Saccharomyces cerevisiae S288C: one gene and its partner. The gene in region 1 interacts genetically with each later gene. Each region holds a gene or a part of one and is shown on either strand. Other genes may lie near its edges.

Region 1 (8,055 bases):
ACAAAAATATGCTCAGCAACAACAAAAGCAAATGCAACAGAAATCCAAACAGTTTGCCAATACAGGTGCCAATGGTCAAACTAACAAGTATCCATATAATGCGCAACCAACGGCGAACGACGAACAAAACGCTAAAAACGCAGCGCAAGATAGAAATAGTAACAAATCATCGAAAGGTTTTTTCAGTAAGCTAGGATGCTGTTAGAATAGAAAACGGAGGAGGTTTTTTGTAATCATTCCCACCACCGTCCAGTGATCTTCACATTTTGTTCTAGTATTATGATTTTGATGTACATTTGATATTTTTTTATGTTTTTTATTTAAAAAGTAAGGGCGAAAATGTCTATTATTAAAAAAATATTAAGTACTTTACGTGCTTTTTAATATCGTTTTTTATTGATTATGTATCTTTAATGGGTTATTGATTTTTTTTGTTTTCTTTTTATATAGTATATACGCTTGACGTTCCGCGCGATTGTTTGTTATTTATAGTGTCCTTCTTAATTAGATTTTTCGTCGGCGTTATTGTGTACTAAATACAGAGTATCAAGATCTTTGATCTCATTAGTGACTCTTAAGGAAGCGCCAATATTATAAAATGAAACTTGTTTACCCTCTTTCAATTTGCATAGTTGAAATTTGTCATTAGAACTTGAATTAGTTAGTGTGCTAGATTTCACGTTTAGCTGGATAGACAAATAGTCCATGGCCCTACCCACAGGCCACATTTTGTTAATGTATAATGGCATTCTTGTATCCTCCTTGGCTATATCCGTCTCATCACCATCCACCAAGTAACACCAAATGTAAATCCTATTTTGCATAGGAATCTTGGGGTCACCTTTAGCAATTTTCTTGAGATTAGCCAATTGAATTATCTTATTCGACGAGGAACCGAAATTCTTTTTTGATTTGTTATTGCTCTTTCTTTTCTCATTCCTTTGGAAGAACTTAAATATTTTGTCTAATGTCTTTGAGTTCAAAGTAGAGCTCACTTTGGCAGTGTTAGAACCTCTCAAAGGCTCTCTTGTTTCACTTACTCTCTGGATTCTAACACTGGCCCTCTCAGGTAACAGACTCTTGAAATATGCTTCATCGTTAGAACTTGAGCCATCCCGGCTTTTGCTAGGACTTTTTTCAGTTTTATGAACTTCTTCATGCTCTAGCAACCACCTACAGTGGTGATCTTCCTTAAGTCTATGGTTCGAGCAGAAATCTTCATTGCAAAACGAACAATGGAAAGGTAGGAAGTCTAGTTGTCTACAATATGCACAGTGCTTTCCTACATCCAACATTCCGGTTTCTTTTTCGATAGCCGCCGACATTCTTAAATATAGCAAAAATTAGTTGATGGTCCTTTTTTTTATATCAAAATTAATGCAAGCTCTTGCAGTAGATGTACACTACAATGTGCCTATAGCTCACTGTTGTCACACTTCCGCCCTAGCTCGAGTCCTTGCTTGTACAAGCTCTTATTACATCTTTATACTCATTTGTAGAACATGCTTTTGCCACCGAAAGGAGGGTGAGGCAGTTTTATGTATATACGAACGTCGCTGGCCACGAGGGGGGAACTTTTCTTTTTATCGGCATGAGATAAAGGGTAGATACGAAATTAGCTAGACATTTAAAATATGAAAGCAAGGAAATTACTAAACTTCGAGATGTTCTTTTCCTTAAACTTCTAGTTGACAGCTCAACATTGATGATAGGGCTTATTGTAGTACCTATTTTATTTGCAATAAAGGGCATAGTAGTTGGCGTGCAAAAGGTAAAGAAAAAGTTTGGAAAGCACTCAAACACAAAGGACCAAAAAGAAGACAAGGACGAAGATAAACGACAAAGTATTTCTCAAAGAAAACAGCATACAGAATGGCCAATAGAGGAGAACCGGATCCAAAGAAGAGCACCGAATCAATCTGCTCTCTGACTAAACCGCAGCTTTATTCATTATATGATGATGACGTCGTGAGATCGGAAGATAACGAAATTTACGAAGAATTGAAACGCTCTGTCTCTATAGATTCTACCAAATATAGTAGAGATCAAACTATTGATTCGACTTTTTACTTGGCCCATAAGGTTGGCGGCTCGCTGCCAAGGAACACAGTATCTTCTAATAATTTGGAAAGGATTTTATCAGCATCATCCATTCACGAAAACTTTCCGTCAAGAACCAGACAAACTCGTCAAAATATTCTTCATTACCTGCAAGCTGTATTAATTTTGTCATTGAGCGGTTTCGCATATCATGAACTGTCCAGAAACTTGCACGATAATCATCTCTTACATCCAGATTTTGCATCGAGACCCCTTCTACTGGGTGTCAAACTTTGTAACTGGCTATCCAATGGGGTTCTGCCAAACTGGTTAGGCTACGGTGTTGAAGGACTGTTATTTGGTTCTGTTGTACCAATTCTGGATAATATTTTTCAAACAGAGGTTGTTAAGAGCTCTGTCCACCATGACAGTTTGACCTCTGTTATTAGAAGTATCAATGCCATGTTGGGAGTCACATTTGGGATCAGGAAAATACAGTGGAACTCCTCTTTGCAGGCGGCAGGGGCATGGGGGCTTCTGAATATTATACTGTGGTTGTTTTTTGACGGCTCAATATCCATGTTAATGAGCTGCATCTGCATTGGGGTGGGTTGTTGTATCTCTTGCTACAAAGATATTATCGACGGTTCCCAATTTTTATATTTCATGGATTTTTATTTCCTTGGTTCTCTAATGTTTGGAAAACTAGGAAGATATCTATATTCTCATTAAAGTCGAAATTCTGACGAGTAAATATTATTAATTAGAAGTACAAGAAGATAACATCAGAATGGCTTATCGTTTATATATAACTAATTAACGTAAACACAGTCAGCCATATGGCTGTAACACTTGACATTTCGAGAAATCACATAATAAGCGTTAAATATAAGAGACCCTTCTCTTTCCCTAAAAAAATATAAAAAAGTACAGGTTGTCTATTTATCTAATGGGTGATTCAGTATACAAACTGGACGACGAAGAGCTGTGGTTCCCCACTGGCGTTGAACTTGTACTACCACCTCCAATAGTACCGTTATTAGACGATGGTGGTCCACTCGATATACTTCCCTCCTTTTGTATCAACGTCGCATTATCTACTACACCAGCGGTTGAGGCAGTTGACGGACAAGTGCTTATCCTTCTTTTTATTATATCTTCTCGTAGTTTGCTGGGATTTGTTAATGGCAGGTTATTCTTTCCATAGTTTATTGGATCATTGTTTTGAATGCCAGCTTTCTGCAAAGCGTAATCACCACTGTCGAAATATTTTCTTTTCTGCATGGTATGCTTAAAAATATCTTTCTTTGATGGCAGCTTTCCGTACATTTTGTATAGCTTCATTTCGTTGGGCGAGAATTTGCTGGTATCAATAGTTCCGCTTTCGCCGTTATTCAGTTTAGTTAAATCTGGGTTACTACTATTGGGAGATAAGTTTTCATTCGACATAGCGGCGAGTTAGATATTCAGGTCCCTTTCTTTCGATAAAAATACCCACTTTAATGAGAAGCATTTGATGGTTAATGGACTTTTTTACGTTCTAGTTGTGATGAGGCCAAGCTATCCAGCCAAAGGGGGCTCAGGCTTCCATACTAAAATTTCAGCAAAAGATCGTTCAATACGTGTGGTGCCCGGGTAACAACAAGCCCTGCTACTAATAGCACCATAACGATTAATGTTGGGTAAATATCCACGGGGATACCTAGCCGAGTGGTGATTAATGAGACTTGTATTGGAACCATGGCATGCTCACTAGGATACGAGTCAGACAAGACCTGGAAAGTCACTAGTATTCTCGCGTAGTCTGACTTAGTTCCCTGAAATTCAGTGAAACGTGGTATTGTGATAGTTTGGAGATTATTAATGGAAATTGGATGTATTGCTGACCAACACACTTTAATCTGATATGTTTCGTCTCGCTGTAAGTCCGCCAGTTCAATATACGTAGTATTATGCAACTCCAAGTCAGTGGTATTGGCCTCGATAGTGATCTGACTCATTGCTTCTCCCGATAGTGATATGGAAGATATCAAGTTTACATCTCTTGCATAAGTAGAGCTGTCTCTTGGTTTTTTGAGGGGAAAGTTGTGAGGAACCTTATATAAGATTGATTCTGTATTAGCGTGTACAAATCCGATGAAAAATACAATTGTAGCGATAAACCAGTGAACATTCTGAGGCCGGACCATCTTCTTTTTAAAAATTGAACGAACCTATGTTGGCTTAGTGTGTGCGAATACCAAGGGTCAACAACATTGCTGTGCAGTTAATCTTCATATTCATGTAAACTTCTCATTTTTTCATTGCATATTAGTTTCCGTCATTGATGATCTTTTATAACAATAGTGAGAGGAAACAACTCCCTCTACCTTCAAATAGGGTCGATTCGGGAATATGATTAAAGAGACACCGAATCAAACGCATACATCCTCACAAGCATTTAGTGAGAAAAAATGGCGAGGCCTCAAAATCATCGCCGCAGTAATTGGACAGAAAGAGACGATAATGATGATTATCTGTTTCAGCGATTTCTAGAAGAATCGGAAACGAGGCATAGTAGAGAGCCTTCACCTGTAACCGAGCAATCTCAGCAAGAACTACAGCAGGATGTACAGCAAGCAATCGATGGAATATTTAACTCCCTTAGGAGGAATATGAGTTCTACTTCAAATATAAATAGAGCAGCTAATATGGATGCAACCACAAACGGAAATGGAGGAATCAATGCAGACACTATAAGAGCCACCAACGCCAATACGGCCGATTCCCCATTCACAGCAAGGCAGCAGAGCCCTCTCAGAACTTTTCTTAGAAATTTATTCATTTTAGATTACTTTATTGGGCTAATTTTATTCCCATTTTCCGTATACAACATATTAAGGAGCGGGTTCAATTCAATGACCTTTTCAGAGAATGATTTTATAATCGAAATCGTGGGATACTGGAAATTTGCCAAGATATTTGGTTCTGGTGGCACGACATTAATAGCATATAAGGATACTGGTAAATTAGGGTTGCTTGGAAAGTTTCATAACATCATTGTATTTTACTCTTCACCTGTGATAAAACATATTATGAAAAGTAGAGATGGCAATGAACCCAACTTAAATTGGATAAGACTAATGTTCGCTAAAGCTTTCGAGCTATTTGTCAAAGTCTCTACCATTCTGATCTATTTAGCTTATGGCGTAAGTGGTACCGTTTACATGGTTACCGCTGGGTTTTTCTTCGTATTGTGTCTATTATTCACTGTTATTAGAAGATATAAAGGTGTCCATCGAATGTTGGTGAGCCAAAGGATTACAGGGCCAGGCGTATTCTGATGATGAATCCACGATTATAATTTGTGTATTTGCTTATCTGTAGTAGTTTCTTTCGCATGTGGTCGCTGTATGAGACACTTGACACCAGAGGACGTTTATTTTGAAGCAACTCCTCTATGTAAGAGCTGTTTGCAAGCTTTCCGTACTGTGACACTTGACCATCATAACGTATATTAACGAACTACTAGGGTTGTTGTGGGCTTCTTTCAAAATGGGAATTGTTAAAAACTATTGATAAACGCCACTCACTACATGCATTGATTGTAAGATTTAACTATCCTTTTTACCTGATGTCTCGAAAATAAGCGTTTACAACAACTACTATTTTGCCGTTCTAGTTTAAAACATGGACGCTATAAAACACTAAATATATCAGAAGATTTCACTTAGACACAAAAGAAGGGGGTGAGATCCCTTATCTGTAGTAAAATGTATACAAATTATACGGACATTGTTTCTTTATTGTATCCATGTATACATGTGGGGTCTTGACACTTACAGGTAGTGAATGCTAGACCTTCGAGACTTAAGGTGAGCAATGTTTTAAAACTTTTCTTTTTTTCCCACTTCAGTGGAGTGTCACCCCGGGAAGATATTCACCTATGGTCAATGTAGCAAAAGATAATAAAAAAATATGTATGGCCAAGAATTTATATGATTCTTTCATCAATTAATTAATTAATTATTTGGGGTATGTCTTAAATAACAATAAAAAGGTGTATAAAACAATCATACTGCTTTAATGGGAAGTATGGTTCCTATTACGAACGAAAATAAAAGCTGTTGCGTGGAAATTTTGTAAAATAATGGTTATGATGACTGGTAAAAAAAGAATCTCTATGCTTCGCTAGATTTAATATCTATCAGTTCATGGGAAAATGCTTTCCAGAGCGGACTTGGAGGTGACACCATTAACGGCAGCAATGGACAACAAGATTTGGGCCTTAATTGGGGATAGGTAACCAGCACCCACAGCGTTCTTTGGAACATCTTTGTTGTCAATAAAGTTTAATGGAGTGTTAGCTTGAGCATATACGACTGGGATTTCAGTGCTTTCAATAGTAGATGAGGTTGAGTTGGTAGAACCAGAAGAAACAACAACCAAACCTTGAACGGCAGAACTCAAGGAGTCAATCAAACTGGAAGAGTAACCACCGTCATAGACAATTGGAACAATTGGAACACCGTTTTCTAATAGACCATAAGGAGTAGTGAAGTTACTGTATTCCTTTCTGATAATCGAGTCAGAAGAGATTAAAGTTGGCTTAGAAGCATCGAAGAACCATTTAACTTCGTCTTGGTCATCAACGATAGCAACAGGCAAACCAGCACCGTAAGAACAAGCAGTAGGTGGAGTGAAGACACCGGAGTACACTAATTTGTCAGAAGTGACGGACAAGACACCACGTTTGGTAGCGTTCTTATTGTTAGCGACTGGAATGGCATAAGCGGAATCTTCAGTGACAACAATAGGCTTTTCGGTGTCAAAAATGATAGAGAAGAAGAATGAGACAGCTTCCAAAGATTTGGCGTTGGCAACAACAACGGCACCGGCGGATGACTTATCTTGGATCGTTTCGTTAACAACACGGGCAACATTGTACAATTCGGTAATGTTCAAAGCAGAAGAACTGTTGAATAATCTGGTGTAGTTTGTGTGGGTCAAAGAACTGTTGGTGATTGGTACTTGACCACCTGTTACAATGATTTGTAATTGACTGCTTTCGGCAGTAGTAGTATTGGTAGTACTGTTTGTTCCATTAGCGTAGGTAACATTGCTAGAGTTAGACCCATTCCAGGCCGGCAAAGTGGAGTTGATATTCTTACTGTGAGATGCCTTAACAGCCCTGTATTTGAATAGGTTTTCGATTGGGCTTGCGACGACGGCAGATGAACATGCCAAAAGGGCAGATAAAACAACTTGGAACTTCATTTTCTATTACTGTATTACTTAACTGACGATTAATCCTGTAGATGTTTTTTGAGCTGATTTTTTACAAGCAAGAAAGAAATAGAAGGGATATTCAATAAGAGCAATAACCCAAGAGAACACAGCAGAAGTTCTAGCAAATGTCACCCTCTATCAAGCTTTTTATATTTCAGAGATGATGGTTTTTTTAGTGAGGTACTTTTTTCTCCCTTTTTCCTAATTATTACTAATAGGGTAAAAGAGATATAATAGGCGCTTTCTTTCTTCAAAGTATCGATGTTGAACTGTAGCATCGAGAAGCCGGCTTCACTCCCTACTGAGATTCTTCGGAGTTTGAAGATGCAATAGAGTACGAATATATCCCTTTTCAGCTCCTGAGCCTCTCCATTAGGAAAAGTATAAACTTTCGTCAACTTCTGCGCTAATTTTCGGCCCCTTCTTCGAGAAGTTTCGATTCGTAAAGGGTAAACTATTTAGACAGTGTACCCTTTTTGGGCTCATGTGTCTCTTGGACACATAACATGTCCACATAACATGCCCCGATTGGGTAAAAGTGAGAGACTTTTTCGCCCGCCGGATCTTCCGCGGATGACGAGAAAACTTCGCAAAAAAAAAAGTCACAAAAAAGTCACATAATAAACCAACGAATGGCCGATGTTTTACGGGTAAGCAAAAGTTTCGACGGTGAGAAAAAAACTCATGTGTCTTCAATCCCACATCAAGGCCCCTTCCTCTGGAAAGAGATCCCAATTAGGGATACCC
Region 2 (8,201 bases), on another chromosome or scaffold:
CCGTCAAGCGTCTTAAGTCGAGGCTCCGATGAACCGTTCTTGTTGTAATCAGTGTACAGTTGGATGCGTCTTGTTGTATCATCGACGTATACGTTGCGCTGAGGACCGGCAAAAGCGAGTAGCTGAAGCTCTGGATAACGGTAAGGGTATCCTACGGCAAAATGGATCATCCACATAAGTGGCACCGTAAGCTCGTCAATTGCAACAGTGACTTTATTTTTAAGAGCCGCGGTCATTTTGTTAGTATCTCTTCTCAACTTGGGCAGCACAATTTCACGATATTTAACAGGTATCATTTGAAGGAAAGAATCGTTCTCCAGATACTCGTCAATTCCTCGCTTTGGCTCTCTGAACAAAACTTCTCGATTACGCAAAATGAGGCTGGCAATATCAACCACTGTAGGCATATAAAAGCAGTCGTTCAATTCTTCCCAAAGGTTATCAAACTGAGCCTTGCATGCAAAGTAAAAGCCGCGGACATACTCGCGATTAAACAGTTTTCCACATACTGATACACCATCAGAAGAAGGTACCAAAGTTATTCTATAAGAGTCCTTCAGCGCGGTTTCCTGCGCTACTTCGTGGTACAGAATTTTGATCCATTTCCACATCGCAACGCCGTTGTTGTCATCAAATATATCTAAATCCCTTGCGGTACAAGCACAAGACGACACCAATAAAGCTTTCACGGCATCTAGTGTTTTTCTGAGTCTTCGTGGAGTGTTAGGACTGCGCAACTTACATACTTTCAAGCCATGCTCGTCCACAGAGGGAATAATGGGTTCTTCATTCGTAATGGATCGATCCTCTTCGTCACCAGCGCCACCACGGGGACCCGCCCCGAAATTGAGCGCACATGCTCGCAAGATAATATGCAAAATATCACCCAATCGGTCCTTTTTGTTCATCATATCGTTACATATCTGTGAAAAGTACTTTATCTCAGTGGGTTTACGTGGGCATAGATCACGCTTCAGCCGCTCTGTGTCGACTTTCTTTTCGCCAGGTAAACTTGCTTGGTATGCAGAAAAAATCGATAGCTCATCTACGTGTAGTAACAAAAACATGTAGGGTGCCAAATTGTATCCATATTTCCTTATGGTGCTTTTCTGAAGACCCCTTACAATAGGTGTGCCAGAAACAAAGTCAGTGAAAGTACGCATCGTAGAGCTGTCGTTCGGCCTGGCACTCGCTATTTCGTAACAACGTTCCAGGACACGGAAACTCAACTCATTATAGTATCCTCTGTTGAGGTAAAAAAGAGAAAGGGTATCGTAATCCTTTCTATTGAATTTCAAAGTATGCACTTGAAACAACGTGTAGACCATCAAGTTGATTTTCTTGGGAATAAGATACTTTGAAGGGATTGGTCCGCCCTGGAAATCTGGTTCGTCTTCAACAAACGTCAGGAACTTTTGTACATTTTTCCCGACCATGACGGAAACGACAATTTTTTCAAAAGACCTTTTCCTATCCATTGCACCAGTTCTGAATTTTACCACTTTGATTAGACCAGACTTTTCGTCTTCGTAGAATGACCGCACTTCCGTGGGGATCGATTCAAATAAAGTTATTGAGGGACAATGTACCAAGTCGTTTTTGTTATTTAGAGCCGACTCAAACTCGTCAAAGTTTGCTTTTTCAAACTTACGCCTATCGGAAACTTTCATTTTATTTTTGTAAGTTTCGAAATTAACAATAGTATGTTGATTGTTATGCTTTTTGACAAGAAATCCATCAATATAAACAAAAGATTGTCCAGTTTCCGTCTTATCATCATCTAAGAATGTAATAATTAAGCTATTGAGAAGATGCAGAATCTGCGCTATGCAGGTGCAAATCTCTAGCAGCAGCAAAGTAAATTCAGTTAGTAAGAAATCTCACTAAGATAAGCGACTGTCTGTCCCCTTCAAGCACAACATAGAAAGCAGAAGGATGTCTCATTCATCGCTTGATTTCCGGCCTGCAAAAATAAAGTAGTCGGTACGTACGTTCGTTTTCAATTTCCATGGTGCACAGTATCTTAACTATCTGCTTAGTCGAGGAGAACCAGGATTCTGTTCGTTGCTCAGCCGCTTCGTGGATATTCTCTTGGATACTTTAAATATGGACCTACGCTTAGCCTGCGCTTAGCCTACAACTTCTTCCGCTCTCGAAAAGACCAATATAATAGAAAGTTATAAATTACATTTCCTTATTAGGTATACGACCTCGCGCTTCGAAGTAGAGGAGCCCTTTTTGGCGTACCTACATATGGCGCGTCAGACAGACAAACTTCCCCCAAAAATGTATTACCCCGCCGAATAAGAAAACAGACCCATTCACCCACGACGTATCAAGTTACTTCCTTGGTGCAATGTCCCACTATAAAAAAATTCCTTGACGCTAGATCGTTGGACTAAAATCTGCGTCACAATCGCCTAAACAGGAAATATTGCCTATTTTCGTACAAGGTTACTTCCTAGATGCTATATGTCCCTACGGCCTTGTCTAACACCATCCAGCATGCAATACAGTGACATATATATGATTTAACCTGTCTCTCAACTTACCCTCCATTACCCTACCTCCCCACAAGTTACCCTGTCTCATTCAACTATACCACACCCCAACCACCATCCATCTCTCTACTTACTACCACTCACCCACATCCACCACCTGTTACCCTCCAATTGCCCATATTCAACTCCACTACCACTTACCCTGCCATTACCCTACCATGCCCCATCTTGTTACTCACTATACTGTTGTTCTACCCAACATATTGAAATGTTAACAAATGATCGTAAATAATACACACATACTTACCCTGCCACTCTAATCCCACCACCACATGCCACACTCACCCTCACTTGTATACTGATACGGCATACGCACACGGATGCTACAGTATATACCATCTCAAGTTACCCTACTCTCACACTCCACTCCATGGCCCATTCTCACTAAATCAGTACTAGATGCACTCACATCATTATGCACGGCGCTTGCCTCAGCGTTCTATACCCTGTGCCATTTACCCATAAATCCCATGATTATCCACATTTTAATATCTATATCTCATTCGGCGGCCCCAAATATTGTATAAATGCCCTTAATACATATGTTGTACCACTTTTGCACCATATACTAACCACTCAATTTATATGCACTTATGTCAATATTACATAAAAATATCATCAAAATCACCTAAACATAAAAATATTCTACTTTTCAACAATAATACATAAACACACTCAATTGCGTATCTATACCACCATGACGTCATTAACTTAAATGTTCCTTAATATCGTCATACCATTATGATCTATTCAATATATTGTAATATAACTGCACTCTATAGTCATACAGATACTTTTACTTCACCCTATCTTCTCATACTATTGTCATAGAATCTCATACTGACACATGATTAAAACGAATAACTTTTACTATAAGGCCTGCCATCCGCGCTCTATCCTTTTGTTTGAAATATTTATATACAGAATCTCAAAACAAGCGGGAGAAGTAGTAATTACCCAGAGGTCATGCATGATCTTAGCACCACCGTACCTCTATGTTTTGCTTTGATCCGCTTTACAGTGACACCAAACATAAGGAGGGAAAATGGTATTGAAATGATGTTGAAAGGTTGTTCACATTCGCAAGTAAATTGGTTCTATGAATCTTCATGTAAGATACTCGTAGGACAGGCTCTTTCCTGTGTAAATATTTGTGACAGCTACATCTAATTTCTATTAGATATTTACACAGTTTTGTCACAGGCATTCCATGTGATAATGAAATTCTCGAGCCATATGGCGGTTGTTGTAAAAGTAGTGACATTGCTGGTCGCACCTTAAATGTAAACCAAAGTTACGGCACACTCTCACAGTACCCGCACTAAAGTTTTATAAAAGTACTATTACGATTATCGAGTGAGCTAGATAGAAAATCGGAAATGAAATGGATGCCCTTTTCGAATAGTAAAGTTTCTGTGCCTAAAATAGCTCAACATTGTTGCCCTTTTTCTATCCCGAGGTTACTGAGCCATTGCATGAACGCGCGCGCCTCGACGGCTTTTTTTTCTGCTATATAAAAGCGAAAAGCCAGAAGTTATTATTTTGAATAAAAAACCCCTCGAACTGCCATCTCACTACCGAAAATGAAAGAGAATGAACTTAAAAATGAGAAGAGTGTAGATGTATTATCCGTCAAACAGCTCGAATCCCAAAAGACTGTTCTACCTCAAGATCTTTTCAGAAGCAGCTTTACCTGGTTTTGTTATGAAATTTACAAGTCCTTAGTGTTTCGCATCTGGATGCTATTATGGCTACCACTTAGCGTCTGGTGGAAACTTTCCAACAATTGGATTTACCCGCTTATGGTTTCACTTCTTGTCCTGTTTTGGGGACCAGTATTTGTTCTTGTTATTTTTAGACTTTCTCGTAAACGTTCCTTATCGAAACAACTCACTCAGTTTTGCAAAGAGATTACTAAAAACACACCAAGTTCGGATCCTCATGATTGGGAAGTCGTTGCAGCAAATCTAAATTCGTACTTCTATGAAAATAAGGCTTGGAATACCAAGTACTTTTTTTTCAGTGCCATGAGCTGCCAAGAAGCATTCAGAACAACCCTTCTCGAACCCTTCTCTTTGAAAAAAGACGAAGCTGCCAAGGTTAAGTCATTTAAGGATTCCGTCCCTTACATTGAAGAAGCATTGGAAGTTTATTTTACAGAAGTTGAAAAACAATGGAAGTTGTTTAATTCTGAGAAATCATGGAGCCCTGTTGGCCTGGAAGATGCTAAACTTCCCAAGGAAGCTTACCGATTTAAGCTTACCTGGGTTCTCAAAAGGATTTTCAACCGGCGGTGTTTACCACTCTTCCTTTTTTATTTGCATAATGTCTTCATTTCACGAAATGATGGCACTATAGCACGTCCCTTGTTTCTTGTGGTGCTGTTTTTTATCATGACGAGAGATTTCCGGAATATGAGGATGATCGTTTTATCCGTGAAAATGGAACACAAGATGCAGTTTTTATCGACTATTATAAATGAGCAAGAAAGTGGTGCAAATGGATGGGACGAAATTGCAAAGAAAATGAATAGGTACTTGTTTGAGAAAAAAGTCTGGAAGAATGAAGAGTTTTTCTTTGACGGGATTGACTGTGAATGGTTTTTTAGCCACTTCTTCTACCGCGTTCTCTCTGCAAAGAAATCTATGCGGGCTCTATCATTGAATGTGGAACTATGGCCATATATTAAAGAAGCGCAATTATCCTGCAGTGAGGAGTCCTTAGCGTAAAGATAAATACAACTTTTTCAATTTATATATTTTGTAGTTTGTCAGCTGCGAATAACCAAAACGAGACTACTTTTTACCATTACAACCATTTTCTTTTTCCCTATTTCTCACTGGTTGACAGAAATCAGTGTGCCACCATCCTACCATATGCGCAAAACTTATTGTCTTTCTCCTCCCAGTGATGCTATATTCCATGCATATTCTGAACGATGGGTTGGTGCTTTTATCAAGCAAGGTTAATCACATGGCGTGGCTTGCTCCACGCATCAGTAGAAAACGCATACCGCAGCGGAATCCTTAAATAATAAGTGATTTTACTGTACATCGACTAGAATCGGACTCTTTCACAAATTACCCTTCTTATTTTCCACATTTATTGTTAATCAAGGGATATACAAAAGCTTATGAAAGCCTTTACCGAACACTAAATAGAAACCCTCCTGCCACGAAAAACTTCAAGATCGATAACTTTAATCTTAAAAATTTGACACATTTGAAGGCGACGACTCCGGGCCGATCGATGCCCTGAAAAAAAAAAAAAAAATAAAGGCGACCTCGTTTAAGGTGAATATGGAAGAAAATGGTTATATAATTGCTTGAACATTTGTCGTTATATATTAACAATAGCATCAACCGGTTTACTAGCAAGTGATCCTAAAATATGATTTTTTCAACATAGATATTGATGACCCATGTCGTTGAAGTGGACACACATCGAAGAATACCACAAAAGGAAGAGAGGATTCTTGTCCTTGCTCCGCCAAGTTGTTCATAAATATCACGATTGACCAGTAGTAACAATATTAATATACACTTACATATAATGAACTATTTATACTATCAAAAAAAAAAAGCTTTTTTTATTTTCGTTATTTCTTAAGGTTTATGGAATTTCGTTCGTAAAGGCGTTTGTCTCTAGTTTGCGATAGTGTAGATACCGTCCTTGGATAGAGCACTGGAGATGGCTGGCTTTAATCTGCTGGAGTACCATGGAACACCGGTGATCATTCTGGTCACTTGGTCTGGGGCAATACCAGTCAACATGGTGGTGAAGTCACCGTAGTTGAAAACGGCTTCAGCGATTTCAACTGGGTAGGTTTCAGTTGGATGAGCGGCTTGGAAAGAGTAGTATTGGGCCAAGTGAGCTCTGATATCAGAGACGTAGACACCCAATTCAACCAAGTTGACTCTTTCGTCAGATTGAGCTAGAGTGGTGGTTGCGGAAGCAGTAGCAGCGATGGCGGCAACACCAGCAGCGATTGAAGTTAGTTTGACCATTGTATTTGTTTTGTTTTTTAGTGCTGATGTAAGCTTAACAAGAAATAGTGAAATGAAAGCGCATACCTCAAAGATGGATAGCTACAGCAGCTCTATTTATATGAATGTCTTGCCAACTTCCCTGGCACAAACGAGTTATCATCTGGCACCCATCTCTCACCTAAAATGCCTCAGTGTACAATGTTCATCCCACATTCATTATTCATATTATTACGGTGCTTCTGTACTTGAACGATGCGTCTTTCATAGGTCCCGTATACGAGGCGCACGCTTCATAGTGCCTATACCTTTTTATTGCATTTCCAAGGCACAAGAATGTTTTCTCACAGTGTACATACTTCCGAAGAATCCCTTTAGGGTGCCTTCAGAGATGCAGCTGCAGCTTTTGGCCAAGAAAAAGCTAAAACCAAATTTGCTTTGAACCCTCGTTCAGAGGCCATCTAATCTTTGTGCGCTAAACGGTTGCTACGGGAAAATTGTAGATTCTGTTTTTCTTAAAATAGAAAGTGAAAGACTTATCGAATACCGGAGTCGTATATTGTAGGTGTCTACAGTCTTATACACTGCCAGCAAAAATGTTGACAAGAATAAATGAGCATTCGAGGTGCTACGAAGCTCTAGTTCTGAAACAGCGGAACTTCCACTGGACAAAGCTGACCATAGCGGAAACTATACCGGAAATTGATAAGTTAACATCTTAATAAGTATTGTATAATTTTTTTTGTAATACTAATAATCGGAGAACAGCATCAGCGCTTCGTATGGTAGGCAACGGTTGCCGCCTAGGTCTACGTTTTTCTATTCATTATATGGTACATGAAGGAGACAAAAAGTGGCGGATTACATACAGAACTTCTATCCTATGGATGTACCTGCAGTCTTTCTGTTTGGATGAAATTGATAGAGGGCTTAGTGTTACTAATACAGAAATCCTTTAAGCCTTTTTCTCCCTTTTATTCACTGTTTCAATATGTCTATCATTCTGGTCATGTGTTTTTCTTCGAGGAATTTACAACTATTACAGCGATAAGTAATCATACGTATCCAGATTATAGGCCCGTTGCTGAAGAATTACTACACTTCTCTGGTATATAGTTATAGCTCAATAACTAATGGTATAGGAGACACAGATTTTAGTAGTCAAACTTCTCAAAGGATAAGACCGTCATTCCACCTCTCATCTTCACTTCATTGGCTTTTAGATATTGATTGTGGGGTGTTAATGTTGTGGAGTTACTGAAGTAGCAAGAATCTTATGCGCTTATTTTCTTTTGCTTAATAACACTGTCTAAAGCAGAGGAATTATGGACAGATGATTGGTTTAGTTCATCTGAAGGCTAGACAATAAAAGGCGGGTTCGGAAGGGGGTAGGCATGCTCAGACTTGACGTAAACGCATAAGCCGGCAATGTTGAATCGATTTTGTAACTCGCCTGAGTGTTACGTGAGATTACATATAGGATCGAACTATCACGAAATCAATTACGCTGTGTTATTGAATCATAAAATCACAGAGCTTCCCGAGAAAACGCTAAATTATGTGTCAAGTACTGCGGACATCTCTTAACGCTATCTTATATTCATTTCACTTTTTATATCTAGTCCTTTTCTTTTCTTTATTAAATAAAACTACC

What was found.
Region 2: mutations in CUZ1 (region 1) and COS6 together harm fitness more than expected from each alone (negative genetic interaction), as found in Saccharomyces cerevisiae (one large-scale study listed by BioGRID).

Annotation. Positions count from the first base shown.
Region 1 is NC_001146.8:335,786-343,840, reverse strand, and holds CUZ1 (Cuz1p), read right to left. Parts: upstream 1,326-8,055; coding exon 501-1,325; downstream 1-500. Other genes in the region: serine/threonine protein kinase YCK2, read left to right, coding at 1-205; YNL155C-A (uncharacterized protein), read left to right, coding at 1,706-1,930; NSG2 (Nsg2p), read left to right, coding at 1,873-2,772; IGO1 (phosphatase regulator), read right to left, coding at 2,983-3,489; PGA1 (Pga1p), read right to left, coding at 3,633-4,229; ASI2 (Asi2p), read left to right, coding at 4,494-5,363; YGP1 (Ygp1p), read right to left, coding at 6,232-7,296. UniProt on the Saccharomyces cerevisiae protein: Promotes efficient arsenite-induced clearance of stress granules (SGs). May have a role in the ubiquitin-proteasome system (UPS) protecting cells from metalloid-induced proteotoxicity.
Region 2 is NC_001139.9:1,078,673-1,086,873, reverse strand, and holds COS6 (Cos6p), read left to right. Parts: upstream 1-4,144; coding exon 4,145-5,290; downstream 5,291-8,201. Other genes in the region: YRF1-3 (Y' element ATP-dependent helicase protein 1 copy 3), read right to left, coding at 1-1,843, 1,992-2,010; seripauperin PAU12, read right to left, coding at 6,206-6,568.